6 linked regions of the Kluyveromyces lactis genome follow. The protein of the gene in region 1 binds, or shares a complex with, the protein of each later gene. Links are inferred from orthologs where the notes say so. Each region holds a gene or a part of one and is shown on either strand. Other genes may lie near its edges.

Region 1 (5,611 bases):
AAGTGTAAAGGGTTTGCATTTATCGATTTTAAGGACGAAACAGGTGCTACCAATGCGCTTAAAGATAAAAGTTGTAGAAAGATTGCAAGCAGACCTATTAGAATGGAATACGGTGAAGATAGATCAAAGAGACAAGTGAGAAGGAGACCTGAGTTAGATGCCAGGGAACCAAGGAAGCCATCATTTGACATAAAGACGACTCAACCGTCATCATCAGCAGCACCACCACCAATTAGGGAAAGACGTGCACCATCCTATTCCAATAGACAACCATCTCACAAGGATTCTAACAATCGTTTGAAAAGTAGTGTTGCATTGGCTTCTGCTCAAAGAGGATCTGCAGCCATTGTGCCATCGCAAGGTAAGAAGACAACTTTTTAATGTGCGTCAAGAAAACATGAAATATATCAAAATCTTGTATATTAGTTCGAAATAGATCATATACCCATATTTATATTCTCTCATAGGAATATATACTTATCAAAAATAAAGTATAGAAGGACGTATGGGACTGAGGTTCTCTGTTATCATCCTTCTGCTGCAAGTCGAAGGCTGCATCTTGTTTTTCTTCACCGCTCAGTCTCGAGAATCCTTCTCCACGACCGGCGAGCACGACTTTTTTTTTTTTCTTTTACGCATTCGAGAGCAGCAAACAAATATAGAACTTGAAGCAGGTCTACTAATAGAAGCCTTGCATAAGGAGAAATAGGCGAGGGTAACGTCGTCAACTTCTCTATACATCCATCAAGGGACGCTAAGGCAGGACTTATAAGGTAGTGGGTGACGATACATAAGTTGCTAGTTGCTTGAGAAAGGGTGAAGTCGATTGCTACATCATTTTTTTTACCGAAAAACCGTTACAAGCGTAAAGCAGTTGTACCAAGGAAACTATTAAATTTCAAGATCTATAACAGGATCTCACTGGCCAGTTCACCTAAAGATGTTGTTCAACACTACCACTGACGGTACTGATTATTCATCTGTTGTTTCTTCGTCAGATACACTGACAGAAAGTTCGGAGTCGTTCTCACAAAGCGTTGCTAGTTTACGAACGGATTACATCAACCCTGACTCAGGAAATTCTACGCAGCAGCCACATGGTATGAAGACCAGGACGGTTCTGGTATATCCAAACAGATCACATTCGGATTCGGATTCACCTGGCATAGTATCGCCATCTACAGTTTGGGTACCGCCGTCAACAGATGATTCAACGTCGCATACAGATGTAGACACGGCAATGGTGACGGTACTTGAGATGAGCTCAGGACCGAGCAACATAGTAATGCAAACAATTTATCCCGAGAACACCGCGACCCAAGAATACACATCTGTTGAGGGTACAGAAGCTACTGCCACTGTGCCTACACCGACTTGGTTAACGTTGACCACTGAAGTACCGTCTTCTGAAACTGTGGTTTATTACACACGAGATTTCATCTTTACTGACACTTCAACCACCTTTACTAAAGGACTACCGACACTTACAGTGATACCCACAGAGGCTACTTTCACTACACCTACAGGTCCAGTTGTGACTGACACATCTTTTTACGAAAGATGGCTATCTGGCGCATTGGATTCCAACTCAACATCGTCTGGATCAAATAAAGATACAATAATCGGTGGTGTAATAGGAAGCGTGGGAGGTCTGGCGCTAATGATACTGGTGATCTATTTATTATTTAGGAAGAGACGAAGGAGAAATCTTATCGAACACGAAAAGAGCTTCTCCCACGACATTGGGAGAAAAATGGGATACGACGATATCGGAACGTTTATTGCACAGTCTCAGCAAACCACCAAGACTACAACCAGAGTATCGACGACTGCTCATAATAATAACAAAGTTTCAAAAAGTTTGCCCTCAGTGCCTCCATATGTTGCAGATTCTGTCAGGAGGCCACAGACGACAAATCCATTCGACGACGAATATGTTGTATCGATTGCAGATCCAGAGTCTCAGACGCCTTCCACAACATCACTACATTCATCCTTTGTGTCATCTTCCACCGATGAGGGTACACATGACACTGAAATGTCAGTTACTTACGATGAAAACCCACAGAACGCTCACGGATATTTAACGGAACTAATCGAACACTGATCTTACCAAACTCTAATTACAAAGTTTTCAAATTTGTACTTAAATTTTCCCTTCTATTCAATATACTTCTTTGTGCATCTTCAGTTATATAGTTCATATTTAAGGTTTAATTCCTAGCAATTCCACACTAACGCTTTTCTAATTTGTGATCTTACAACCCGTCAAGATAGTCGGACTTCAATATCTTCCTCCACACAGTAGAACCATTCCTTATATCTTCATGCCCGTTCACGATGATTTATATTTCCTAACCATCGAACAAAAAAATTTTGATAATCAAACATTGTACAGAAGAAGGATTGATCAAAGTAATAAAATGCCTACAGTATAATACTAGAGGCACGTGTAAATTACATGGTTAGTTGCAGGCTCTGTCATCAGTTCAACCTATATAAAATTTAATGCTATCGAGGACAGTAACTAGCCTGTTCGGCTTGGGAAAGGCTTCCGGTGTAAGAAGTTTTCAAGCTTCAGCATTGCAGCTACAAAAATCTGCACAAGGTTCGCTATTCGGTGAAGTCACCGATGGAGTGAATCCGTTGAAGGATGACGATCCAAATAAACTATCTAATAAGTTGACTACTGCTACCGAACTGTCAGATGATTTGGATGCTGCTACCCAGCTGGCAGAGGCTAAAAAGAAAGTTACAGCAGCCAATGATACACAATTACAGAAATATATCGAAGAACAAGACCCCATGATCAAAAGTTTACCAGAATTTTTGTTACCAAGAGTTAAGAAGGAATTCTATGAACAACAGGTTAGGTTGAACGGTGGGTTTTACGACAAAAGCGTGCGCCCTAAAGATCGTTCTTTGAGATTAACGAATGAAGAATTAGAAGTGCTTGAACCTAGTGTCTATGTTAAATCTTACAGAGTAAAATCATCTATGAAGAAGGCCACACAGCTGCTTAGACTTTTGAACGGATTGGACGCTAAGAAAGCTTTGACTCAATGTCATTTCTCCGATAAAAAGGTTGCCCGTGATGTTGCCGAATTATTGGAGCGCGGTATTAATGATGGTGTGAAGCTTGGCTTGGATGCCAATGACCTATACATCTCCCAGATATGGACCGGCAGTGATGGATTTTGGCAAAAACGTGTCGAATGGAAGGGTAGAGGTAGACGTGGTCTCATTGAACACCCATATGTGCATATCAAATGCATATTGAAGACCAAGAGTGTAACGAAGAGAAGACTAGAGCACGAAGCCAAACTAAAAGAACAAAGGAAGAAACCGTGGGTTCAATTAGCAGATAAACCCATCAGAGGTTCTATGGGTGGTGTTTACAAATGGTAATGAGATATTAAACATTATCATATTACGTTTATTTCCAATGATAATGGGTGAAGATAATATACAGCAATTAAATCATCAATAATAAGGTCCTTAGATTGTCTTTGGGTTTCATCTCAAGTTATCCATGTCGGAATAGCCAAGTATTTCATATCATTTATATAATATATAGAACAAGAGCTTGTAAATAGTGAAAGCAACGCGAAATACTTCACCGCATCAAACTGTAAGGAAACAAATTTCGTCTATTTCTTCTTCTTAGATTCCGTTTTAGCTGGTTCAGTAGTTTTCTCCGCCTTCTGTTGGTTAGCGGCAGATTCCTTCAATTGGTCTTTCCTCCATTGATCTAATCTTTGTTCATATTCCCAGGTACTGTACCACAAACCTCCTTGCAACACTAAGACACCAGCAAAGACAATTAAAATAATGATATTGGAAGAGGCAACAACAGCAATACCTTGCGCCTCAGAGACTTCACCCCAGTTATGGTAAACCGCAGATTCAACACCGGTCTTGATATTTGTTAAGAAAACACAGATACCCAAAACGTACAAAGCCAATGAACCGTATTCAAATAATTGCAAATCTGGATTTGGCTTGTATACCCTAATCAAGGAACCAATGACTCCCACAATGGCCACCGCACCAAGCATATAAAGGGTTGGCTTGGCCGTGTAGAATAGAGTCTGGTAGTGTTTCAAAGCGTTCTCAAAATGCTCCGGCGTGGCAGCAGGATTGAATAGGATATTATAGTCATATGGTTGATTAGAAAAGAAGATCCCCATCAAAAAAGTAGTTGATCCAATGATCAATGCTGTACCTACAGCACAAAAATCCTTATAAGTTAGGCCCATATTTACTTTCAGTCAATGTGTTTAGTGAGCGATACCTACGTTCTCTTAAAAATGGAACGTATAGACCCTACGTGTGGTATTAAATGGTTAACAATTCATCTATAATTGAGCCATTGGTTTTTTCAGTACGCACTATATATTCTCTTTTTTTTTAATAATTTACATGATTTTTGCCCACCGAATTTTTTTGATTAGTATGAAAGATAAAGGAACTGAAAGGCGGAAAGGCATTATCGGAAGGCGCTATCGATAAATCATTTTAAAAATCCATTGATAAAAGCAGGACGTTTTAATCGATGTCATCTGGGCATAGATTACTTATTTTTAAAAGAATTGATGAGTTTCTTAATATTTATACATATAAGAACGGTATTTAATAGACTAATTAATAATATAGAATCAAACAGATATCAATTGATTTAAGCAGATTCAGCAGCTTCAACTGGTTCAGTTGGTCTGTAATCCTTGACAGAAGGTTCCAAAACTGGTTCTTCTTCCTTTGGTTCGATGATGGTAACAGCATCTGGCAAAGCCTTTGGACCAGAGGTGTTTCTAGATGGGTCCTTCATGATCTTAACCTTAATACCCAAAACACCTTGTCTCAACAAAACGTGTCTGGTAGCGGTTTCAATGAAGTCGTTGACTGGTTGACCGGAGTGGATCAAGAAACCGTCAGCGAACTTCATGGACTTGGCTCTAGCAGCTCTCAACTTACCGGAGATGACAACTTCACAACCCTTGGCACCAGATTCCATAACGTATCTGACAACACCGTAAGCAGCTCTTCTGATGGCCAAACCGTTCAACAATTTGAACTTCATGGATTCAGCTTGAGCAACAGCGGACAAACCACGGTCATGGACTCTTTCAGCGTATAAAGCAATGGTACCACGCTTGTACTTGAATCTCTTTTCAATCAACAAGGTCAATTCGTTGATTCTTCTACCATTTTCACCAACAACATCTTGAACCTTAGTAGCTCTGATGATAATTTCGGTCTTGGTTGGAGTAACTCTGACTTCGACACCAGAGTAACCTTCTTCAGCCAATTCTCTGGTGAAGAATTCGTTCAATTCGGCGTAGAAAACACCGTCAGCGACAAGCTTTCTCTTCTTGGAGATAATGGCAACCATTTTTACTTTATTTGTTCGTCGGGGAGCTCGAAATTATAGGTGATAATAAAACTAACTAAAGTAAGTATCTTGTATGTCCAATGGCACTTATGTTCATAATGAACCAGATTGTAAAGCGATGATGAGAACAATATTCGTCAAACCGTCCGAATCGCTGCGATTGGTATGGTGAAAATGAAAAAATCATCTGAAAGACAGTATTTACTCACCAACACATGT
Region 2 (4,319 bases), on another chromosome or scaffold:
TAGTAATGGGTCCCCTTTTAAGTGATTGCAATCGACTAGCTACGGATACAGTTGTTTTTACAGGATTACCATTTTGTCCATTACCACCTCCGTTCTTGAGTTTGTCCAGAAGAGAAACCTTAGTTGTTGCAGGTGCCATTGTTGAAGCCTTATTCCTTGCTTCTGCACGTTTCCTAGCCAGTAATTCTAAGGCCGATAGTTTCTTTTCCACTTTCTGTTCTGCAAACAAACAAATAAATGATACTTAGTTAGTCATATAGCTCATTAGAGATGCAATACAATACACGCTGTTCAATCAAGTCAATTGTTTTTTCTTCTGCTGCCCGTCCGAAACACAAATAAGCACCACGTTCACGACCATCATGATCAATCGACATGTCCAGCTCCGTTAGTACAATATATCATAACCCTCTTCCCGTCCACAAAGAAGATAAAATACAAGATAGGCAGACCCCCCTAGTACCAATTTTGTTTACCATGGAAGAACCAACAAGAAATCATAACTGAAAACACGTAAAAATATAAAACACCGCCACGTCCAATGCCAATTATACATACCCTTTTTCTTGAATCTTCTCTTTAAATCGACCAATGCAGGTTCTAACTCGAAATTGTGATCAAAAATCGCAACTTTCACGGCCAAGTTATCCCAACCCTGATAATCAGCTAATTGCTCCTTCGCCAGGGGAAACAACTGGTTCATCAATTCAAATTCTTCATCGTTTAAATAATCGTCAAATTCATCCTCGTCCTGGAAATCAGGTACATCGTCGTCATAATCCACAGCGTCATCATCGTCATAAAACTTAGACATAATAAACTGCTTCGCTTAGTCAGAGAATCAGGCAATAGACGGTATAATTCGAGTTTAAATGCAGGTTGAACCGAATAACAAGAGAATTGCTTGCGATTAGAAACCTTTTGTAATTGAGATTTTCAGATTTTTTCAGAAACTGTTGATACTTGTCACGTGACTTTAAAAATTTCTTTATCAGTTGCTGCGTCGACATGCAATCTCTTTATCGATGAGATGAGATGAGTTGTTATCGATAGCATGAAGTGAGTTGTAAACAGTGCAGTTTGTCCATTAGTACATTCTTTTTTTGGTCAAGAAGGTAATTCCCGGTAGGTGATTTAACAGGTGAACGAGTTGAATTTCCTAGGTAATATTTTGAAGAGAACAGAAGTGATATAGCCGATACGTTTTCGGATGACAGTTCCGGAGAATGTGCTGACAACGCATCAACGAGTGATACAGAGTTGTGTTTTGTATAATATCGTACCGCGAAGCATTGCAAGAGCGTGGGAACCCCAGCATTTGCTATGGAAGGGGAAGCTTATAGTAGACGAGCTTTTGCATTTGGATGGGTCCAATCAGTCGACGATGATGCAACCGTCGCTGTACAGGTTTCGATTCGTTTCGGATAAAGAGGACGGAGTTGATAAAGAGGATATAAACAGCGACGAGAGGTTGTTCTGTGAGACGCAGGTGATATCGAATCTGAAGGAGCTGCATACGGTATTGCAGCGGAGGGAGAAATGGTATCAGATAGCAATGTTGTGCGAGGGACAGCATAGGCATCAGATTGCATTGGAACTACAAATAAAAGATGCGTATCAGATGCAGTTATTCGAAGATATAATCCTGAGAATCCGAGATGAGTACGAAATTTTCCAAGAGATGTACGATGGGTATTAGTGGTACTAATGTATCATTTTTTCCTAACGATAATGACCCCAGCTGTAACTTATTGAGATAGACACTAATTTTTGCACGTCTTCCATTGTATTATATTACATGCATATATATAGATGTTATAAGCCATTTAATAGAGTTGATGACTAACGATTGAAACATAAGGTCGATGGTTATCTTATTACTATTTACAGATATACAGTATGTTGTTTTCTTTTACCTTTTCTCATGCTCTGTACCAGAGTTCCTTTCTCTTTTTTCTTTCGGCTCTGGCCAATGCTCTCTTAGGATGCCATTGGCTCTTTATCGTCTCAAGAACTTGATTCATTTCTGTCTTTCTTTCCTTGGGTGGTTCAGAAACAATAGAGATGAACAACGGAGAACAGTTGAACTTCTTTGCTAAAGCTTTTCTAGAGTTTTTCACCGGGTCCTCCAGTCTTAGTCTTCTAATCTCAGCGATGTCTTCAGGCTTCAAATGGTAGGTCTTCTCACCCTTCTCATGTAACACTGGCGCTACCCTCGATATCTCTGCGTTACCTTGCGTTAGGTCATCTATAATGTCGTGCCTTGGATCAGTGGCCGGTAAGAAAGATTTTGGAATCGTTTCTGAGTTAGTAGAACCATGGATAGAGGATGGAGCTGGATCGTAATATAGACCTGCTGGAATCTTGGCTTTCAAATAACCTTTGTAATTGGAGGCAGATGATTTTGGATTGTAAATGGTAGCTGGTCCAACGATCTTAGGTAACTTACCTGATTTATCAATTATCTTTGAAAGATCCTTGGCCGCACGGGCGCTGGTCGAAAATAGTCTCACCATACTGTAGCGAATATGTCAAATGTAATTTCTACAGCGTAATTGGGGATTATAAGCCTGGTGTAAGGGTCTAAAACTTGTTATTTAAACTATCAATCACCATGTTTCGCACTGCAGACTCTAAATCTTTCAGTTTGATGCTTTCAAATTTTTCAGATAGAAATCCTGATGAGACAGACAGGATTAGTATGGGAAAACAGTTTATTTCGAGAAATATAGGATTATTCTAGTGGATATACCTACCTGAAGATGCTTCTATATAATATCGATTAGTACTATGAATGAGTGTGAGCTGACCTGTTAAAATAGGGCTTATATTGGCGATATTATGCAGCTTTTAGAAGTGCCAATTTGGACTATTCTGTATCTTTTGTCACGTGAAAGCCGGGTAATCCCAACATCAACATCAAATGTCGTTCCTATTCACAACAGGAAGAGCTGAAAGGCTATGAGATGGGACAAGAATAATGGCATAAACAGTCCTTGTGATACTTCATTAGCAGCTCTGTCTCATCAGGTTTTACGCCAGGTGGTAGGTTTACCAAGCAACAGAATTAGATGAATGCAGAACTTCAAGAATGGATTCAACAGAATACGGAATCAAGAGTGACAGAGAAGTTTGTTGAGACTTTAAGGCAGATTGCACGTATTCATAAGGATGTAAACAAGTTCATCGGGGGTGCTAAGGCTTTGGGGAAATTTAAGGGCAAAGATGAGTTTTTGAAGCAACTTTTTGAAAAATTACAGGCACATAAGCAGTCTCCAAAGCCAGAATCAGCGGCTGTTCCAGCAAGAACCATAAGGAAAAAATTTGTGGTTAAACTTCCGTTGGATGACAAGGAAGACGACGATGAAGATGAGCTTTCTACTGTGAAGGTACAAGTGAAACCAAAATTCAACAAGCCTTTGACTTTGAAACGTATTACGAAGCAAACTGCAGCAAAATTGAATGAGTTTTCAGAAAACACTGAACCAGTGGTCATGGTAAAAAAAGAAGAAGCGACCAAAGGCACACTTATCGATGCAGAAGGTAGTGATGTGGAAGATATAAAGGACGCCAAGGATTTTACTGCACAAGATAGAAATTGGTACGATAATGATGATGATTTTGATAACGTCATTCACGATGATGAATATATACCAGCTCAGCAAGATCCGTACGAAGGCGGCGACAGAGAGCTTGACTTGAATGAACCTGAAATCCAATTAACTTCCTTATCGTTGAATGAGCGTAAAACCATTATTCCTCCGTTTTTACTTGATTTCCATGACCAGTCAGGAGAGCTTGCGATAGTGGGTGCTTTGGATATGTCTTCAAATGCAAATAAGGGAATAGCAGATCCGATAAGAAACCCTGAGAGCGACTTTTCTATTAATGCAAGGAGAGGCAGCAAGCTTGTAGCGATGAGGAGGATTCATAGAGATAGAAAATCTAAATCTCAGAACGCTACCGAGCTAAAAGGTAGCGCCTTAGGTAAAGTTCTAGGAGTAAAACAAGATAGTTCAACTGACGCGCAAACTAAGCAACCTAATCAGCCCATTGCTATAAAAGAAAAAGAGCAGAGCTTTGAAGAAATACAAGCAGTGAGAAGGTCTTTACCCGCTTATAAAGTACGACACGACTTAATGCGCCATATTAGAGATAACCAGATTACTGTGGTTATTGGTGAAACGGGTTCAGGTAAAACAACACAATTAGCACAATTCCTCTACGAAGACGGTTTCACTGCAAATGGTAGAATGATTGGATGTACACAGCCAAGAAGAGTAGCAGCTGTATCGGTTGCTGAAAGAGTTTCCAAAGAA
Region 3 (4,400 bases), on another chromosome or scaffold:
TATTTCGATGATGCATTTTCTAAGCGTAAGACCCAGATAACAGCCGATCCTAACTCTAAAGTTTCTGTTGAAGAACATGAATTGGTTTTCACTCCTAATGGTTTTGACGAAGAAGTCCTTGAAGTCAAAGCTCGTGAGCAACGTTACAATGATGAGGCTGCTGCTGAAGAGTACCAACGGTTGTACGATGCGTCAAGGTTAAATTGGAAGGATCCTCCAATGAATAAATTTAGAATTATTGCTTGTTGTATTTGGACTTTTACTTCAGGAATGTCAGATGCTGCCCCAGGTGCATTGCTTCCCAAAATGGAGGAATTTTATGACATATCTTACTCTATTGTATCTATGATCTGGATGAGTTGTGCTGTTGGATACGTTGTCATCGCTTTATCCACGCCATTAATAGTTAAAGTTGTTCCAAAAACTTTCTTAAATTCGCTTGGAGTGGCTTTCCAAATCGTGGCGTATGCTTTGATCTCTTCGGGTACCGTGTTTCCAGTAATTTGTGTTGCATTTTACTTCAACGGTATGGGTTTAGCTCTTGGATTAACTCAATTCAACGTATTTTTGGCCAGTTTCACGAACGCTAGTACATGTTTGGCTTTAATGCATGGATTTTATGGCGTTGGTGCCCTGATTGCACCCTTGCTTGCTCAGTCTATGCTTAACGTGGGATATAAATGGAATCAATACTACTTTATCTTACTAGGGTTATCTATCTTCAATTTCTTCAACATCTTTTGGTCTTACAAGAATACTTCTAAGGACTTGGCTGAATATGAGAAAGCTGACTTGCATAGGATGGAAATGGAACAATTACAGCTTCAAAATCAGAAAGGTGGCAGTTACAAGAAAACTTCGGAATTCTTGGAATCTATCAGAGATTATAGAACTTGGTTACTGTGCGCTTTCGTGTTCTTTTATCAAGGTGGGGAAGTTTCACTTGGTGGCTGGATGGTTACCTTCCTTTTAGAGGAACGTCATGGTAATGCAAACAGCACAGGTTATATAGCATCTGGTTATTGGGGTGGATTAACTCTAGGGAGATTCTGCTTGACCACATTATTATACAAGAAATTAGGTGGTCGTCGTTCCATTTTCCTACTAACGTTAAACATTTCAGTATTGTTGCTTTTGGCGTGGTTAATACCAAACTTCTATGTTTCTGCGGTTTGTACAACAATATCTGGATTGTTTATAGGCCCAATCTATCCCTTAATGATTGCTCTAGTGTCGCATCCCAAGATTCTACCAAGGAAAATATTATCACAGTCGTTATTGATCATGACTTCAATGGGTTCTTCCGGTGGTGCTGTAGTTCCATTAGTAGTTGGGCTTATTTCTGATCGCACAGGTACATGGGTTCTCTTCCCTATTGTTCTTGGGTTGTTTCAACTAATGATTTTGTCGTGGCTGCTACTTCCAAACGTTGAAAACACCGCAGGCAAATCATTCTGGAGAAAATATGTATGGTGATGCCATTTTGCTAACCATGTACCCATTCAAGCTAAAATCATCTAAGTCAAATGAATAATGCTATTTGTAAACAAGACCATTATTCATATTCGAACCGATGTATACACAGAAGCCATGTTTTTTTCTGAAGTACACTGTCACTTTGGAATACGGTTAAAGTCCCCTTTGAAAAGCTTAAGAGCTTCATTCTGCCGATAATCATTTCGTAGAATTGCTTATTTACATGGTTTGTTTACATTTCTTCTATCTAACTCTTTCATTACAATATATAATGCAACATCTCCATTATATTTTATTGCGTGGCACTTGGTCTTGCCTGTAGATCACACAAGTTGTTTCTCGAGCAACCCACGTTTGGTGTACCGATAAAAAAGTGTCCTAGAAGAGATAATGTGAAATATGATTCGTGCTCTACCTTTAATGCATTATGCCTGGAAACGAACTATTCAATCCTTTTTCTTGTAATCATAATACCACACATTGTTCGGTGGGTATTGAGTAGGTACCCTTAGTTCCAATGGGACCCTCTTACCTGATTCTTCAGCGTTAGCCATTTCATATAGTTCGGGATCTACCTGTTCTAATAAGTTCATAGCTTCTTCTATATTCTCGTACTGTAGTTTCAAGAGATTTGTTCTCTTTTCCCTCAGTTCCCTTTGATATTGCGCCCAACAAGCTTGAATCATATCATGTTTGATCAAATCTTCACGGGAAAGTTTTAAAAGTTTTGGCTGTTTCCTGCTAGCAGACATAACAGAGAGTTGTGTAATGATTCTTTGCGCTTGAGGATTTAATCCACCTTTCGATTTAGTTCTTTTCCCACGAACAAAGTTCAAAGAGGGTTGCACTACCTTCAAGGCATTCTTACGAGATGCTGCACTCGCTAGCATAGTGGATGGAGTATTAATGATCCTTTCGGTTGGCTGAGAAGCTGTATGCTATCACACGAACTTATCGCAGAAAATCAACCCGTATTTAATCGTCATTCAATTTATTGTCAAAGCTAACAATAAACTCACTGAAACCTCATCGAATCTTCAAAATTTTTCAAAGTTACTGATGTTGAACAAACAAATGTCTGTTACCCGGAACTGTTGATTATTTTGACTGCTAAACTCTTTTGCACGTGACCTAAAAAGGTTCAAGTACACAGGGAGTAGCTGCCCTTCGACTAGCTGGTAGGTGATTAACTTCCGACTTGTCTTGATTACCTGCTATGCCACCTCACATAATGAAAAATTGAATCTAACAAAGCCTGGAATACCTTAGATATCATATTTTCCTTCTTTTCATCTTTACATCTGATATATGATGATATAGCATTACGCCATTTGTAAGGTTTTAAAGGGAAATCTGCACATCAAGGACCCTGTTTGAACCATTTATAATGTATAGAAACGACAATATATTTTAATGGCAATCAGAACCGACGCTGTTCGAAGAGTTGAGATTTCCCTTGGACCAACATTCGGAGTCGTAAACAGTTAAACTCAAACTTACGGAAAGATGTCTCAAGACGATCAGAAGCAATATCCTGATGAGAAGAAAAGTTCCTTGCCAGAGGATCCTCCAACGTATACAGATGTTCTTAAGGAAGACAAGGCACTACGAGAGGAGCAAGCAGAAAATTGCAATCAAGTGGGTCATATGAGCACCAACCACATACCAGAGGCAATCGTGGCTACCCCGGTACGCAGAGAACAAGTTATAATAACGCCGGCTCAAAAAAAGGTATATAGTTACAGTGCTAATGTAGATGATATTTAAATAGGATGAGAAATAAATATATTAGGCCTAAAAAAAGTACGTATCACAGTATTAACGGTGGCGTTGAACACTTTAAGTGTTCCTCGTCATCGTCGAGGTCTATTAGCGACAGGTGATGGTTAATGTTGTCCGATACTGCGTTATTGGTAATAGTCTGAGTGTTATCGGGATCAGAGAAAGGAATCGATAACGTGGGGGACCGCGAATTCGGTGATACAACACCAATTTTATAATCTTCAAGCTCTGGCGACCTAGCTTTGTCTCTGTGGTTTCCTTCGTCAGTATGATGGGTAAGGGATCCCCAAAACCAAAATTTGCTCTTCCTTTTCTCCTTTGGTCGCTTCTTCTTCTCTCTCGGTAAAGCTTTGGCGACAAATGGTTCCAAGGGATCCATTTTAAATTTCGGCTTGACATCATCACCATCCTGTGAAGGCAGATTGTTTCTATCATTTTTATCCCGCAGTTTATTGAGCAGAATTTGCTTACTTCTTAATTCATGAGCGCTTTTCATTGCTTTACTCCGTAGTATTTCATTTGTTGATTTCTTATTGGAATGCGGTTCCAAAGGCTTCTTTGGTGCGGTCAGCTCCGGTCGATGAGCATTTGAACTCCATGCAAATGTAACATTCTGTGTAGTCATTGAACTGTTGTTTAAACTACTGGAACCGTGGTTCGTTTCCTCACGTCTCCATTCTTCTTTGATTTCATGATATTTATCTATCATGGGGGTTTTTAATGGTTCAGACCACTTATCATAATTTGGGTCTCTTATGCGTAAGAGTTTGTCTTTATGTCGGGCTATCACCTCGTCTGCTAGCTTATATACCATGGCTTTTGTTTTTGAACCCTTTTTAGTATCGTCTAAATCCTCGAAGAAGCCTGCCTTTTCGAATTGTTCTACAGCTGTACGAACTTTTCTAATATATTCGTCATCATCATCATCTTTCTGATTCTCAAGCTTATTCCCCAGTGGTTGTTCGGTAGCAATTGGTTCTTTATGCGCTGCTGGTCGTTCGAGATCATTTGGTCCTTGATCCCGTACTACTTCGCTCAACTGCCTTTCCTCAAAAACACTATCCCAAACGTTTTCCTCGTCTGGAAGCTCCATTGACAGTACATATACCGTTGATATAGCAAAGTGATCACTTATTGTGTTT
Region 4 (4,633 bases), on another chromosome or scaffold:
CAGGACGCTGTTTCTCACAACAGCATGGTTGAAAAGGAGTTCAAGTGTCATATAACCAATCCATTTTTCACTGAAGTTACTGCTTTTCAACAACTGGAAACATTGATCCAATCCGAATAACAACTCAGGAACCATGCCAGCATTAGTAGTGATATATATATATGCCATCTTAGCAACATATTTTTTCCTTTGATACCCATTGAGCCCACTTTTCTGGGTAAACTGAGTCCGTATATTCTGTAGTTCAGTTTGTATTCTCCTAGCATGCTCTTTAGTCTTCTGGTTTGCTCGAAGGTCTGCAATGAACAATTGCAAACCCTTCATGTTGTTCTGTTGATTCTGACCTAAAGCCATTGTTAATTTCTTGATTCTGACTTGTAAGACACCAAATAACTAGGAAGATAATCAAGTGGCACTGCTAATCGATAACAACTAGTAAGTGTACAGATAAAAATGGTACCTACTGCTGGTATACTATCTAACTTGATGTTGTTGTTTTAAGGCTATTGAAGTTACGTCTACTTGAAATCATTTGAATTTCAAAATGTCAACGTGAAGAAACGTTTGGCGAAATTGTTAATAAAACGCATCACGAAAAGTACTTGAGAGACAATTAATCAAAACGCATAGCAGGCGAACGAGCCATTCCAGCGAGTTACATTGAGCTACATCGACTAACAAGATTTAAAATTCCTATACGAGAATGTCTTTGTGGGTTGATAAGTATAGACCAAAGACTCTACAGTCATTAAGTTACAATGAAGAATTAACAAATCAATTGTACTCATTAACGAGACAACCTCAAGATCTTCCACATCTGTTGTTCTATGGACCCAATGGTGCTGGTAAGAAGACTAGATGTATGGCACTGTTGCAAGAAATATTTGGTTCTGGGGTTTACAAGCTGAAGATCGACGTTAGACAGTTCGTCACACCATCCAACCGTAAGCTGGAGTTGAATGTAGTCAGTAGTCCCTACCATTTAGAGATTACTCCGAGCGATATTGGTAACAACGATCGTGTTGTGATACAAGAATTGATTAAGGAAGTCGCTCAAATGGAACAAGTAGATTTCCAGGACTCCAAGGATGGTTTGGCACATCGTTACAAGTGCGTTATCATCAACGAGGCAGACTCGTTGACTAGAGATGCCCAGGCAGCATTAAGAAGAACTATGGAAAAATACTCTGGTAACATCAGGCTTATAATGCTATGTGATTCAATGTCCAGTATCATTGCTCCTATCAAGTCTCGTTGCTTGCTAGTTAGAGTACCATCACCAAGTTTGCAAGAAACTGTGTCTATCCTGCAGGATTGTTGTTCCAAAGAAAAAATAACTGCCGAGGGCAATTGTCTAGAGAGGATAGCGAATCTGTCAAAGGGGAACTTGAGAATGTCACTCTTAGCACTAGAATCTACCTCACTACAAAATGAATTGCATTTAAGAAACGATACACCTTTGAACAGACCTGATTGGCAATTGGTGATCCATAAAATGGCTAGGAAAATATTAAAAGAAAGAACTGTTAATAACCTTGTAGAATGCCGTTCCATAAATTATGATCTATTAGCCCATTGTATTCCTGCCAAAACCATAGTCCATGAATTAACGACGCAATTGCTTTCAGATGCCCAGTCAGATCCGTTGAAGTTGGCAATTATCGATACTGCATGCACTTTTGATCACCGTCTCAACCTTGGAAACAAAGCAATCTACCATTTAGAAGGGTTCATTGCAAGGACAATGTGTGAAATAGATAAATATACGTAAGTATTAACTTTTGTAGTTTGACAAACAACCAAACTTTACTCATTTGGGACTTTAAATCTTGAATCTTTGATAGCCTATTTACAGATAGTGGGATTAGCTCTCACAAAAGTTATACGTAAAAGAGTCGTTTATATACACACATCGATCTATTTCAACGAGCCCTGAACATTCTATATTCCGGTTGCTGGGACTTCAACTTTGTAATATATTCCTTTGTAGGTTTCTTCTTTAGTTCTTCAAAGTAATTGATCTTTGGATCGTCCTTTGGATCTTTTACACTCTTGATACCTACTCTTACCAGAGAATCTTTCGATATGAATTCGTATAGGCCAGGAAGCTTGGTTGCTGCCTTTCTAAACGCCTCACGTGCTACTTTCTCGTGTAGATTGTCACCTGCCATCTCAAAGATCACTTTACCGGTGGGTACTCTGACCATCCAATGGTCAAATCCACCCTTACCTTTACCCATTCTGGTCTCATTACCCTTGATACAAACAGCAATGTTTGTACACAAACGACGCCATAATTGACCGTTATTCAAAGGTCTAACGTATCTCATAATAGCATTATCGGCTTCCTTCAACTGTAACGCAGTAAGTCTCACACCTTCAGACTTCAATCTTAAACCAAATTGACCAAATTGAAGCGAATTACCCTTAGTAGAGCCACCGGTACGCACTGGCACACGACCCTTTTGCTTCTTAGTCTGGTTCTTGAAACGTGGAGCATATTCATGTGTAAAACGCCTAGCGGTTACTTGCAGACTTTCTAATGGATTTAGTGAGCGAAATCCAGTCTTGAAAACGCTGGAAAACATGGTGATCTAATTTACGATAAAGGAGGCTCACTGATCTGAAATAAGATCCTTGCAATGAGGCGCGAGGGACTGTTTTATGCTGCTTTTCAAATCAATTTCTATGCTCTGGATCTTCTTTTACTTACTCTTAAAGCTTTTCATTATTGAAAAATTTTTGGTGAAGTTGAAGATATCTTGAAATCATGTGACCTTCTACATACATTCAAAAGAAGATACAAAAGTCTCGTTAAACAACACTTGATATACCTGTTCTGGTGATTTCAGGCAGTGAAATATCACTAGTAATATCATTGCTAAGGGATTACCTTTGTTTTGTTGATTGAATTGCCCCAGTTTTACTGTTATTAAGGGTTCTTTAATACCGAAACGATGTCGAATAGGACGATATTGTCAACTTTGAGACCATGTTTAAGGTTGTTTAGCACCTCCAATGTGGCATTACAGACACTTTCTGTGAATGGAAAGACGTACCCAGTATCAGATAAGACGAATGTAACTAGTTCGATTTTGAATTTGACTGATCGCGCTGTTTATTTGAAACCATCACACCCTGTTGGGATCTTAAGAAGTGTTATCGAGGACAAGCTGAACGACCCTCATCACTCATTCGAGATCTATAACGATTTCAAACCTGCGGTTACGGTACATGAGAATTTTGATTCTTTGGGATTCCCAGAAGATCACCCCGGTAGATCGAAATCTGATACCTATTACTTGAACGATTGTCATCTGTTAAGAACGCATACATCTGCCCATGAGTTGGAATGTTTCAAGAATATCAATGGGTTTGTTCCTGGCCATGTGGGTAAGACTGATAAGCCTGGATTTTTAATCTCTGCCGATGTCTATAGAAGAGATGAGATTGACAGGACTCATTATCCGGTGTTCCATCAAATGGAAGGTGGTAGAGTTTGGAAAAGGGAACCGGATAACCAACATTTATTAAAGATTAAAGAAGATCTCGAGAGATTGGAGAAAACTTTGGCAGACGACCCAGTGAAACTTGTCGTGGAAGATAACGTTTCCTTGGAAGGTAATCCAAAGCAGGAATACATGACGATGGAAGAAGTCGATTTATGTTCTCGCCATTTGAAAAGATCTTTGGAGCTTGTTGTATTGGAAGTCTTCAAGAGAAAGTTGGCAAGTATGGGTAACGTGAAGGGAGAAGAGTTGAAGGTTAGATGGATTCAAGCTTATTTCCCATGGACTGCACCATCATGGGAAATTGAAGTGTTCTGGCAAAACAATTGGCTTGAGCTCTGCGGTTGCGGTCTTATCCGTGAAGACGTTTTATTAAAAGCTGGATATGAACAAAATCAAAACATCGGTTGGGCTTTTGGATTAGGCCTTGACCGCATTGCAATGCTATTATTCGAGATCCCTGATATCAGATTATTCTGGACCCTTGACGAAAGGTTCCATTCCCAATTCAAAGAGGGCACAATCAACAAATTCAAACCGTACTCTAAATATCCAGGTACCATCAGGGACGTGGCCTTCTGGCTTCCAACAGATAAGAACTTTGACATTATCCATGAGAATGATCTAATGGAAATCGTTAGAAACGTAGCAGGAGATTTGGTTGAATGTGTCAAATTAATTGATTCATTCACACACCCCAAAACCGGTAGAAAGTCATTATGTTACCGTATTAACTATCAATCAATGGACAGAAACGTCACCAACGAGGAAGTCAATGAGCTGCAGGATAAAGTTCGTGATACCCTGGTGAAACTATACGGCGTTGAACTGAGATAACCAAGATACAAAATATTATATATAAATTCGTCGTATTTACTAGTGATGCGATTTCATGTTAATAGTATAAAAAAAATTCATTTCAATATGTAACGGTTAGTGATCAATAAGATCTGTGGGTAATTAGTAACCATACAGTTCTTTTTGAACACTATCTAAGAAGAAATACAACGACACTGTCATTAATTCATCGTCTGTTCATCGTTATTATCGCATATCTCTCTTAACAGCAAGATTTCAAGGTGAAAAATACTGAGATAGCTTACATATTACATGTGATGAACATC
Region 5 (4,965 bases), on another chromosome or scaffold:
AAGAATTGGTGGATGGGATTCAGCAAAGAATTGATTTCGTAACTGCAACTGGAGTGTCGAGTTTTGAGCAAGAGACTGAACAAAATTATGGTAAACTAGAATATTTACAGAGTAAAATCAAGAAAGATGACGGCATTAGTGATTGGGTCGATGAGAAACAACGGCTTTCTGGCAGATTGAATAAACTAGAAAAGCAAGTGCAAGAATTGGAAGAATTGGCAGATGAATGGGAAAACTATTTACAATTACTTGCCGATACAAAACTTCGAAAAGACAACGTCTAAAACCTCTTCCAAGTCAACGTTATCACCAGTTATCTTCCCAATTCCATCGGAAGCTATTCTAAGTGATTCGCAAGCTATTAATATATCGTCATTCTTGTGCTGGAAGAACTGATCTAGGCCGAATAGAATATCAGTGCTTAAAATTTCTTTGACTCTATTGGACACGGTGACTGGATCTTCATTCTCAGTTGCCGAGATTCTTCTGAAACTTAATGTCAAGGTCTTAACTAATGGTTCCAATCCAATTTTGGTTAAGCAAGAGACTGTATGAATTTTCAGGGCTTTAAATTCTGCATCGAACTTTTCAATTAAGTATTTTAACTGGGTTTCAGTAGCTAAATCCGATTTATTCAACACGACAATTAAAGGTTTATCAGATAAGTTATCCTTGATAAATTCTTCAAAATGTTTACTTATATTTGGGTTAGATACATCAATGACCAATACCACTAAGTCACTTTGTAAACTTTTCTTTTTGGATCTGTCAATACCTTTGATCTCAATAGAATCTGAAGTTCCCTGTCTGATCCCTGCCGTGTCAGTCAAGATACATTTAAAACCGTTAATGTCCATCATTACATCGATAGAGTCTCTTGTGGTGCCCGGTATATCACTGACAATCGCAACGTCGTCTTGAGATATTTCGTTAACTAATGATGACTTCCCGGAATTTGGTTCACCCAACAATGTTAACTTTATCCCATCGTTCAAGACAGCCATTCTATCTAATTTCACCATGAATCGAGTCACTTTTTTGTATAGTTGTAAAAGTTTATCATTGGCACCATTCACTATAGAATCGATATCTTCCGTTTCGATATCTTCACCAAAATCAATAATTGCAGTTAGTTTAGCGATCTGCTCTATAATCTCTTGTCGCCATTCATGGAAAATGTCTACGGTCTGATTGCCATGCAATGCAGACAATCGCTGTAATTCTGTATCTGAATGAATCATATTGTTGATACTTTCAAGCTTCAACAAATCCATTTTCCCATTCTGGAAAGCTCGTCGACTGAATTCTCCCGGCATCGCCATACGAATATCTCTTTCAGAGTCCCGCAAACCCTGGATTGAGTTTAACGCTGCCTTTATAATAGCTTTCCCCCCATGTAGATGCAATTCCACTAAATCTTCACCTGTAAAGGTCCGTGGTTGTGGGAAGTACAAGACTAACGCTTCATCTATCAGAGTTGATGCCTTGGGATCATATAATGACCGAATCATCGGTTTCCTCTGCCGTAGCGGTTTTTTTGGCGACAATTTTTTTAAGATATACTTTGAATGTGTACCCGATATCCTAATTATAGCTATTGCAGAGTGCTGATTTGATGGCGTTGATAATGCATACACTGTAGGATGGAAAAATGTCGCTGGAACACTATAAAACCGTCGCAACATTGGGCTGAACATCACTTTTTGCGAAAAATTGAACCAAATGAGAGTGGGATCCTTGTAGACTACCATTACGATTCCAACTGCAATTTATGGTAGTTTAGAATAGTCTGTAAATATGTTTAGCTACCGATTCATCGACAATCCATAGCATAAGTGCGCCGTATCAGAAAGAATCTGGAATAATGAGATGTCTGTGAAAACATATTATTATCACGTGACTACTCGGAAAACATCAACAGTCTACTATATCCGGGTAATTGCAGATCTCAGTATCGAAATATTGAAAAAAAATTTTAGTGAAAGAGTTACAGAGAGAGGATGGAAAGAAGTTGAGTGATGCAGTGAGCTATTGGTGAGGTTTGCCATTGATATATACAGCAATCAACATCACCATCGAGGGGGGTTAAAGAAGGATGTCTGTTTTGAAGCTATTGAACCCTGTGCGAGTGCGAGGATTTGCTTCTTGTGCCAGGTTGTACCAATCAGAACTGTCATCATTGAAAGAATATAAGAATACCATCAGTACACTGTTAAAGAACCCTGCACATGAACTAACAAGCCCCAATTTAGTTGCACTCCATTCCAGATTAAGATTGCCTCAAGGCTTATCCTATTCTCTTTTGTCCAGATGTTTGACGTGTCGTTCTAGTGGGGAAGTGAACTATGACAATGTCAGTTTGAACATTTTTGGTAAGAGTCTTTTAACTTTGGCAGTTACATCCGAGCTAATGAAAAAATATCCTAGGCTACCGGGTGTGGTTTTGAATGCTGCTGTGGATGCATATATTAACGACCATGTTTTGAGCAATGTCGGTCGTTCCTGGGGTATAGAACCGGAAACTCAAAGTGTAGTGGATAGATATGCAAAGAAAGAAAATGTTACCATTACATTGGGTAAACTACGTTATTTCCAAAATTCCGTAGATGAATTGCATAACTTCACTGAGAACAATGCTATGGCAGTTGCCGTAAGGAGTATATTCGCCGCTGTATACAGTGTCGACAAAGATTTCAACCAGACACATAAGTTTATCGCAGATCATATTTTGTCCAGAAAGCTGGACGTTAAAGATTTGTTCGCGTTCGAACAACCAACCAGAGAACTGGCAGCTTTGTGCCGTCGCCAAGGATTGGAAAGACCGGTATCGAAACTACTTGCAGAAAACGGTAGATTGTCTAAATCACCCTTGTTCATCGTTGGCGTTTTCAGTGGTGAAGAGAAATTAGGCGAGGGTTACGGTTCATCTTTGAAAGAAGCTAAAGCCAGAGCCGCTACAGACGCTTTGTTGAAATGGTACTGTTACGAACCAGTGCATGGCCAACAGAATGTCGTTATTGACCAAGGCGAAGTGTTAGTATAGACAGGCCGCATCAGCAATGTATGTTTTCCACATAATCCTTTTCAGTTGAGATCAACTTTTAAAGATTTCTTTCCCTGTAAATATAATATACAAATACATAATAGTAATTCATACACTGTTGTACTCGAACGAAATAAAAAAGGAGGTTGTACGAAACTTAGTTGTGTCTTGAGGCCTTGCCTTATTTATAGCTAGATCCTGTTCTGCATTATTTGATCAAGATATGGATTTGAAGGAGGAAGTTCTGCTGCAAGTTAATTCGACGATCATTGAAAGTAAAGGAGGTCCGTTACTATTTATCCTTGTATTGGAAAATGAAATAGCATCACAGTGTTTTCTGTGTGATGGAGTTGGAAACGTTGATACGAAGCTCAGCCTTTTCAGCTGGAAATCCTCTGATCCAATTGGAATCCTAATGGTTGACCCGGACATTTACGATTACGATGACATGTTACAGTCGTTGAATTCGAAACAATACATTATTAAATCCAAGTTCCATTACTTCCCTGAAACTAGCAATTTGATACAATGGCATGAGAGTGTACGATATCCTTATAAGCTAATCAACTGTGGAGTAGAAATTCAGGATGATCATTCCGATTTAAAACTATTAAAACGTGATTTAAAAGATCATTTGGATAGGATGATTCAATATCTTGAAGATAATGATAGACCAAGCGATGAAATCTTGAAAGAAATTTGGTTATTAAAGCTAAGATACAGTAGAACATCGGCTCCAGACTTAGATTCAGAAATCTCTAGGCTGGAATCTGATATAATGATGATGCAAACGATGTTCAATCAAATGGAAACCAATGCAGAATTATTCTAATGCTACTGGCTCAATTATTCTCATTATTCATTTACTAAATTAATGCAAAACTATATTAATAACTTACGGATGCGTTTATCTATGGGCACACCAGTCGCGAAACATGTATTTTCTGTGCTTACCCATTTCTTGGCACACTCTAAATTAGCGACATATCCAGATGAAATCATGGCAGGTTCTGTTATTTCTTCGCCGCATAGGGGACATACGTCAGTCGTATCATTGTTATCCACCTCTGATGCTACGCCAGGTAGTACTGGAGGTTTTGGTCTCTTTACTCGTATCTCTTTCTTGAATAATTCAGGCCGCTGATTGATAATTTGTAAAATTCTGATCATCACTAGGAAGCTCGGGAATAACTTGTCCAAGAACATGGTCGATGTGCTCTCCACTGCATCCTTGGTCATAGCTAATATTCTGGGTAAATTAGTTCTTTTACGACGACGTTCAGAAAGAGTTAAAGTATTTTTCCTACTTGCAATTCCTTCTTCGGGTTCTTGGTATCGTTGGTATCTTATTTGTGTTATGAAATGGATCATATCAGTGTCTTTTGAATGACGCAAGTACTTTAATTTGAAACAGAAATTTATCACTTTGATAGTCTTCTGTAGCTTAGGATAATAGGCATCAAACCATTGTTGCCATGAGCTCAATTCTGGGCTCGTCAATTTTCTGGACTGCAAGAGCTCATGGTATTGTTCACAGATATCACTAACGTATTCGAATAAACAGTCATTCAACCAAATTCCTAGAAAGGTTAATTTAGGGAATCTAGAAAACCTTTTCAATCCATAGAACTTGTCAAGAATTGTGGCACCTGTTGTTTTATAATGTCTGTATTCAACCAAAGATTTAATCACCAAGATTATGAAGTCAAATTTATTAAAAATCTTCAACAGCCATCGTGTTGGTCCTCTATATTGGAGATAAATGGAGAAAATATACCTTAAAGTTGGTTTGATTAACTTCTTCACTTCATTGACAGAGAGTATTTCGAATAAAGTCGGTTGTTGTAAATTCACCGGGAGATTGGAGTAAAAATCCATCGCTTTGAGTCCTCCCTGTTTCTTGTATTTGTTTCTGGAGTTGT
Region 6 (4,480 bases), on another chromosome or scaffold:
AATCATCCAGTCGAGAATAGAGAAAGGTCTAATACATCAAGTATTGATCTGCTTATGAGCCACGAGTCTGAATCTAGAGCTATTTACAAGTCGGATCAGTTTAGTGTCTATCCTGATGGCCATCATGCTCACCACTTGAAAGTGGTGCCTATAGTACATGATTTAGAGCAATCTTTGAACAAACCTAAGAGCTCGTTTTCATTTTCTGGTTTTTTTAAGACTCACCGTACCATTGCCGATGATGGAGAGAATTTGGCGACAGCATTGTCGTTATTGCCAGCAAACCGGTTTAGTTTCCACAAGAGACTCAGTCAGATAATAGACGAGGAAAACGGTAATCATAATGCGGATGAGGAACTTGAGCATAATGGAAATAATGGTGTTGATTCCGATTCAGATGCGGATTATGACAACCAGTCCTCTGGAAATTCGAACCCATCTGATGACGAATCCGAATCTGATGAAGATGGTTATAAGGGACCAAATAAATCAGCCAATGTACCAAAGATTGTTAACGAAAAATCCGTCATTGGTGCTAACGAATTGAAACTGATAAACCAATTAACCGAAAAGATCGATAACGGATTTTGTTTGAAGGGCTCTAAGTCTGATGCAGTTTCCTCCAATGAACCTTCTTCTGCTCCACGAAAGCAGCATTTATGTGAGAAATACGGGAAGTCGATCGGTATCATTGGACAAGGTGCCTATGGGGTTGTAAAACTATGCTATAAATTTATTGACCCAGATGAACCTGATCTGAAAGATAATACATATTTCCATGATAACAAGTTATTCTATGCGGTAAAAGAACTGAAGCCAAGACCTGATGAGCCTCCAAAGAAGTTTAGCACAAGACTAACCTCAGAATTTGTGATAGGATTATCGTTGAGTGGTGGTAACAAAAGCAGAAGATCTTCGGCAAGAACACATCCTAACATTTTAAACGTTATTGATTTAATGCAAACACCTAACGCATTTTATGAAGTAATGGAATTTTGCCCTTCAGGTGATCTATACAGCTTGATTACAAGAAGCTCAAAATCTGATTCAGTTTTACATCCATTAGAAGCAGATTGCTTCATGAAACAACTACTACATGGTATTCAATACATGCATGCTCACGGTGTAGCTCATTGTGATATTAAACCAGAAAACTTGCTATTTCTCCCTACAGGTGTATTAAAAATATGTGATTTTGGTACAAGTTCTGTGTTCCAAACAGCCTGGGAAAAGAAAGCACATTTCCAAACCGGACCAGCAGGATCTGAGCCTTATGTTGCGCCTGAGGAGTTTATTCCAAAACAACAATACGATCCAAGACTAGTTGATTGCTGGAGCTGTGGTATTATCTACTGTGTTATGGTTTTAGGCCATTATTTATGGAAAATTGCTATCAAAGGCAAGGATTCAGTATATGACGCATTCCTCGAGGATATGGAAAAACATGGACAATATTATGTATTTGACGAAATGAAACATGTGTCTCCAGGTATGAACCGGTACAGAACTGCTGCACTTTATCATATCTTCCAAGTTGATCCGAATAAAAGGATAACGGTGGATTCATTGCTAAAAAGTTCGTGGATGAAGAGGACAAAATGCTGCGTTACATATCCACCAAGGCCGGTGTAACACCAAAATTTGTTTCATAGCTGAAGGCCTTGCTACTTTGGCAGATTTAGATTAGTTTCTTTCGCATCATTTTTATCTATATTTAAGATAAACATACATCTCTTTGAAACACTTATAAAATATTGATATCACTGTCAATGAGCAATAAGTTGGTAGTCGCGTATCCATCATATTTATCATGGCATTTTCATAAACTTTACTAACGATATTTTCTATTTTTTATTATCTATATACATGATTCTAAAAGCCCTGCGCAGTCGTAATCGATATTTACCAGTGGTGAAACATATTTACAAAACTTTACTTGCTAGAGAGCAAATCTTGTTGTAGCCCTTTTCCCTTAGTTCTCTGCCGACAACACCATCGTTACCCATAATTCTTGACCCTAGAGGTTCACCATTATTCTTGTTGATTAATACACAAGCATTGTCACCGAACGCAATTGTTGATCCATCAGGACGTATCATATTTCTTTGCTTGGTACGTACCACCACAGCGTGTACAATATCACCTTTCTTCACTCTGTTGTTATTGGATTGCCCAGTAATAGTTTGTGTTAATGGTTTAGCCTTCTTCACCACACAGACGATTTTGTCACCTATTCTACCTGGAGATTTTGGCGAACCTTTTCCAAGTACTTTGATACATTCGGCAATTTGAGCACCTGAGTTGTCAATGACTTTCAAAAAAGACTTCAAATAAATCATGTTATAACAGTCACAGTGTGAACTTCAGTTAGGTCGTGTGCTGCAGGCTGCTACTGATCGGGAAAGCACAGCTTTTCTTCCTGGACTATCGTTAGAGAAAGGATTAAAGCTTTCTATGTCTGGTTTCATCAAATTTTTTCTTAACCCATAATTGATGTATATCACGTGATTGATTTATTATTGGCTAATCAACGCCATTATCAACGCTTACTACATACAAATAAAGTGCTTACAACGCCGTCATTGTTAAGACAGCTGGTGTTTTCATTAGTTATCGTTATATACTTCAGTAAAATTATTAAGTATTATGCTGTTGAGAATGGTAAAACATCAGAAAAAAGGTCAATGTAACAGTATGCGTTACTATTAATGCTATTGGTATGCTTGTTGAATTAAAAATTAAGGGTTATAACTGACAAGGACAGAATAGTAGAAAATATTTTGTTAGTTTAGGATTAGTTTCAATGCTTACCCAGAGCTACTTTCACCATATCAAGTTCCCATCTCCGGGTTAAGTCTTTCGTTAAGCAGCCCTTCACTGCGTTGAATAGACCTTGGAATTCCACCTGGTCATCTACACCCAAGTTCGAGTTCATATCACAGTTACAAACTTGGCGTAGTGTCGTTTTATCATATTTACCTGAAGTTATTATTGCACGAAGTCTGGGCTCGTATTCATGTTTAAAAGGTAATTTGCCGGTAAGCATGGTGAAAATTAAAACACCAATGGCCCATATATCAGCGCTTGGTCCAATGGGAGGAGGGTTGGGTTCTAGTAACTCCGGAGCAGCGTATGGTAAAGAGCCAATTCTGCTCATGTCATCGTTGATATGTTCATGCAAATCTTTGTTAGGTGTTAATGTAATGTCTGTTTTTTGGTTCAACGAGCTGGTTAGGTTAGAACGAGTGCTCTTTGGTACGGAGTGAATACCCAAAGTCGTATCATCATGAATTAATTTTTTATCGTTCACTATTTGTCTTAACCTTGATTTCAACCGTAAAGAAGAATTATTCGTTGAAGAGGAAGATCTTGGAATTGAGGGTCTTCGTTTCAAGTGAAGAGTAGACCCATCAAATAGGGATTTCAGTTGAATTGATTCATTTTCCATCTGATCTTTGAAATGGCCATAAAAGTGACTCATGCCAAAATCGCATAATACAAGCTTCCAATCTTTGTAGTTCTCAGACTTTTTTTCTAGAAGGCAATTTTCCAACTTTATATCTCCATGTGCAATGAATTTAGAATGCATATATTGTACAGCATCAATTAATTGTAACGCTAAGGCGGATGTAGCTTGACACCTTTCTCTTAAACTAATCTTTGAATTACCACATTCGCCCCAAGAAACAACTAAATCGTATAAGGTTCCATGATCGATCTTATCTGTTAAACAATATGCCACCAGATCATCGTCTAATTTCCATTTTGTTAAAGGAAGAATATTATTGTGGGAAAGTTTCGACCATATTGAGATTTCACGTAGTACTTGCCTCTTTACACTTCGATTGTCCTTGAACTTGATAATCTTCATCGCCTTGCAACAAGTATTATTCTGGTTTTGAGATTCATCTGTAGAAGGGAAACATTCCCTGATCATACCCCAAGCGCCGAACCCTATTATTTTGCCAAGTCTATGACCCAAAATGAAAGACCCTTTATCGTCCCTCTTGAAAGAACTAGAACCGGGGGTAAAAGAGTTCAAGTATTTCGATGCAACTGATCCATGTCTGGATCTCACGTTATGTGTTGAGCCACTGTGGCTTAATTTCTCACGTTTCAAAATGTTCATAATAGTCTTATAGTCATGGTTGGGACTTAAATCCTGTATGATCTTCTTACGTTGGGAAAATGGCATATTGATGAAATCCGATGGAATAGATCTCATAATTCTATCTAGGTCATGTTCTGATATTTCAATTTGGGCAGGTGGAGTTCTCAGAGACGATGCAGAAAATAACGATGATGAGCTCGGTCTTGCTATAGGAATTTGAGGCTGTTGCTCATTTTTAACATTTGGTAAAGGGATAGGAGCCACTTGGGAATGCAAATCGTCTAGTTTCAATACTGATTCCTTCTGTGGCTTACCAAGATAGTCTGGTTCCCATGTATTGAAACGTGAAAGCATATTGGTATCATCTGA

The links. Proteins that work in one complex are often made in the same cells at the same time.
Region 2: MRPL22 (region 1) and MRPL20 share a complex: the UniProt entries of both Saccharomyces cerevisiae proteins name them as parts of the mitochondrial large ribosomal subunit. The link is inferred for Kluyveromyces lactis from reciprocal best matches to the Saccharomyces cerevisiae genes MRPL22 and MRPL20.
Region 3: MRPL22 (region 1) and MRPL28 share a complex: the UniProt entries of both Saccharomyces cerevisiae proteins name them as parts of the mitochondrial large ribosomal subunit. The link is inferred for Kluyveromyces lactis from reciprocal best matches to the Saccharomyces cerevisiae genes MRPL22 and MRPL28.
Region 4: MRPL22 (region 1) and MRPL16 share a complex: the UniProt entries of both Saccharomyces cerevisiae proteins name them as parts of the mitochondrial large ribosomal subunit. The link is inferred for Kluyveromyces lactis from reciprocal best matches to the Saccharomyces cerevisiae genes MRPL22 and MRPL16.
Region 5: MRPL22 (region 1) and MRPL3 share a complex: the UniProt entries of both Saccharomyces cerevisiae proteins name them as parts of the mitochondrial large ribosomal subunit. The link is inferred for Kluyveromyces lactis from reciprocal best matches to the Saccharomyces cerevisiae genes MRPL22 and MRPL3.
Region 6: MRPL22 (region 1) and MRPL38 share a complex: the UniProt entries of both Saccharomyces cerevisiae proteins name them as parts of the mitochondrial large ribosomal subunit. The link is inferred for Kluyveromyces lactis from reciprocal best matches to the Saccharomyces cerevisiae genes MRPL22 and MRPL38.

The regions. Positions count from the first base shown.
Region 1 is NC_006040.1:700,947-706,557, forward strand, and holds MRPL22 (mitochondrial 54S ribosomal protein uL22m), read left to right. Parts: upstream 1-2,508; coding exon 2,509-3,408; downstream 3,409-5,611. Other genes in the region: NOP13 (Nop13p), read left to right, coding at 1-381; TDA7 (Tda7p), read left to right, coding at 941-2,107; SHR3 (Shr3p), read right to left, coding at 3,651-4,259; RPS3 (40S ribosomal protein uS3), read right to left, coding at 4,679-5,392. UniProt on the Saccharomyces cerevisiae protein: Component of the mitochondrial ribosome (mitoribosome), a dedicated translation machinery responsible for the synthesis of mitochondrial genome-encoded proteins, including at least some of the essential transmembrane subunits of the mitochondrial respiratory chain.
Region 2 is NC_006037.1:690,803-695,121, reverse strand, and holds MRPL20 (mitochondrial 54S ribosomal protein mL58), read right to left. Parts: upstream 2,517-4,319; coding exon 1,923-2,516; downstream 1-1,922. Other genes in the region: ribosome dissociation factor GTPase HBS1, read right to left, coding at 1-243, 559-814; KLLA0_A07777g (uncharacterized protein), read left to right, coding at 1,211-1,699; DEAH-box RNA helicase PRP16, read left to right, coding at 3,072-4,319. UniProt on the Saccharomyces cerevisiae protein: Component of the mitochondrial ribosome (mitoribosome), a dedicated translation machinery responsible for the synthesis of mitochondrial genome-encoded proteins, including at least some of the essential transmembrane subunits of the mitochondrial respiratory chain.
Region 3 is NC_006039.1:1,299,163-1,303,562, reverse strand, and holds MRPL28 (mitochondrial 54S ribosomal protein mL40), read right to left. Parts: upstream 2,367-4,400; coding exon 1,923-2,366; downstream 1-1,922. Other genes in the region: KLLA0_C14949g (MFS transporter), read left to right, coding at 1-1,476; KLLA0_C14916g (uncharacterized protein), read left to right, coding at 2,983-3,243; LFT1 (Lft1p), read right to left, coding at 3,287-4,351. UniProt on the Saccharomyces cerevisiae protein: Component of the mitochondrial ribosome (mitoribosome), a dedicated translation machinery responsible for the synthesis of mitochondrial genome-encoded proteins, including at least some of the essential transmembrane subunits of the mitochondrial respiratory chain.
Region 4 is NC_006038.1:1,063,946-1,068,578, reverse strand, and holds MRPL16 (mitochondrial 54S ribosomal protein uL16m), read right to left. Parts: upstream 2,589-4,633; coding exon 1,923-2,588; downstream 1-1,922. Other genes in the region: APL3 (Apl3p), read right to left, coding at 1-354; RFC5 (replication factor C subunit 5), read left to right, coding at 704-1,771; MSF1 (phenylalanine--tRNA ligase), read left to right, coding at 2,958-4,346. UniProt on the Saccharomyces cerevisiae protein: Component of the mitochondrial ribosome (mitoribosome), a dedicated translation machinery responsible for the synthesis of mitochondrial genome-encoded proteins, including at least some of the essential transmembrane subunits of the mitochondrial respiratory chain.
Region 5 is NC_006041.1:685,520-690,484, reverse strand, and holds MRPL3 (mitochondrial 54S ribosomal protein mL44), read left to right. Parts: upstream 1-2,095; coding exon 2,096-3,043; downstream 3,044-4,965. Other genes in the region: KLLA0_E07679g (uncharacterized protein), read left to right, coding at 1-284; MSS1 (Mss1p), read right to left, coding at 246-1,751; KLLA0_E07613g (uncharacterized protein), read left to right, coding at 3,267-3,875; PEX12 (ubiquitin-protein ligase peroxin 12), read right to left, coding at 3,926-4,921. UniProt on the Saccharomyces cerevisiae protein: Component of the mitochondrial ribosome (mitoribosome), a dedicated translation machinery responsible for the synthesis of mitochondrial genome-encoded proteins, including at least some of the essential transmembrane subunits of the mitochondrial respiratory chain.
Region 6 is NC_006037.1:612,838-617,317, reverse strand, and holds MRPL38 (mitochondrial 54S ribosomal protein uL14m), read right to left. Parts: upstream 2,340-4,480; coding exon 1,923-2,339; downstream 1-1,922. Other genes in the region: putative serine/threonine protein kinase KKQ8, read left to right, coding at 1-1,632; protein kinase NNK1, read right to left, coding at 2,801-4,480. UniProt on the Saccharomyces cerevisiae protein: Component of the mitochondrial ribosome (mitoribosome), a dedicated translation machinery responsible for the synthesis of mitochondrial genome-encoded proteins, including at least some of the essential transmembrane subunits of the mitochondrial respiratory chain.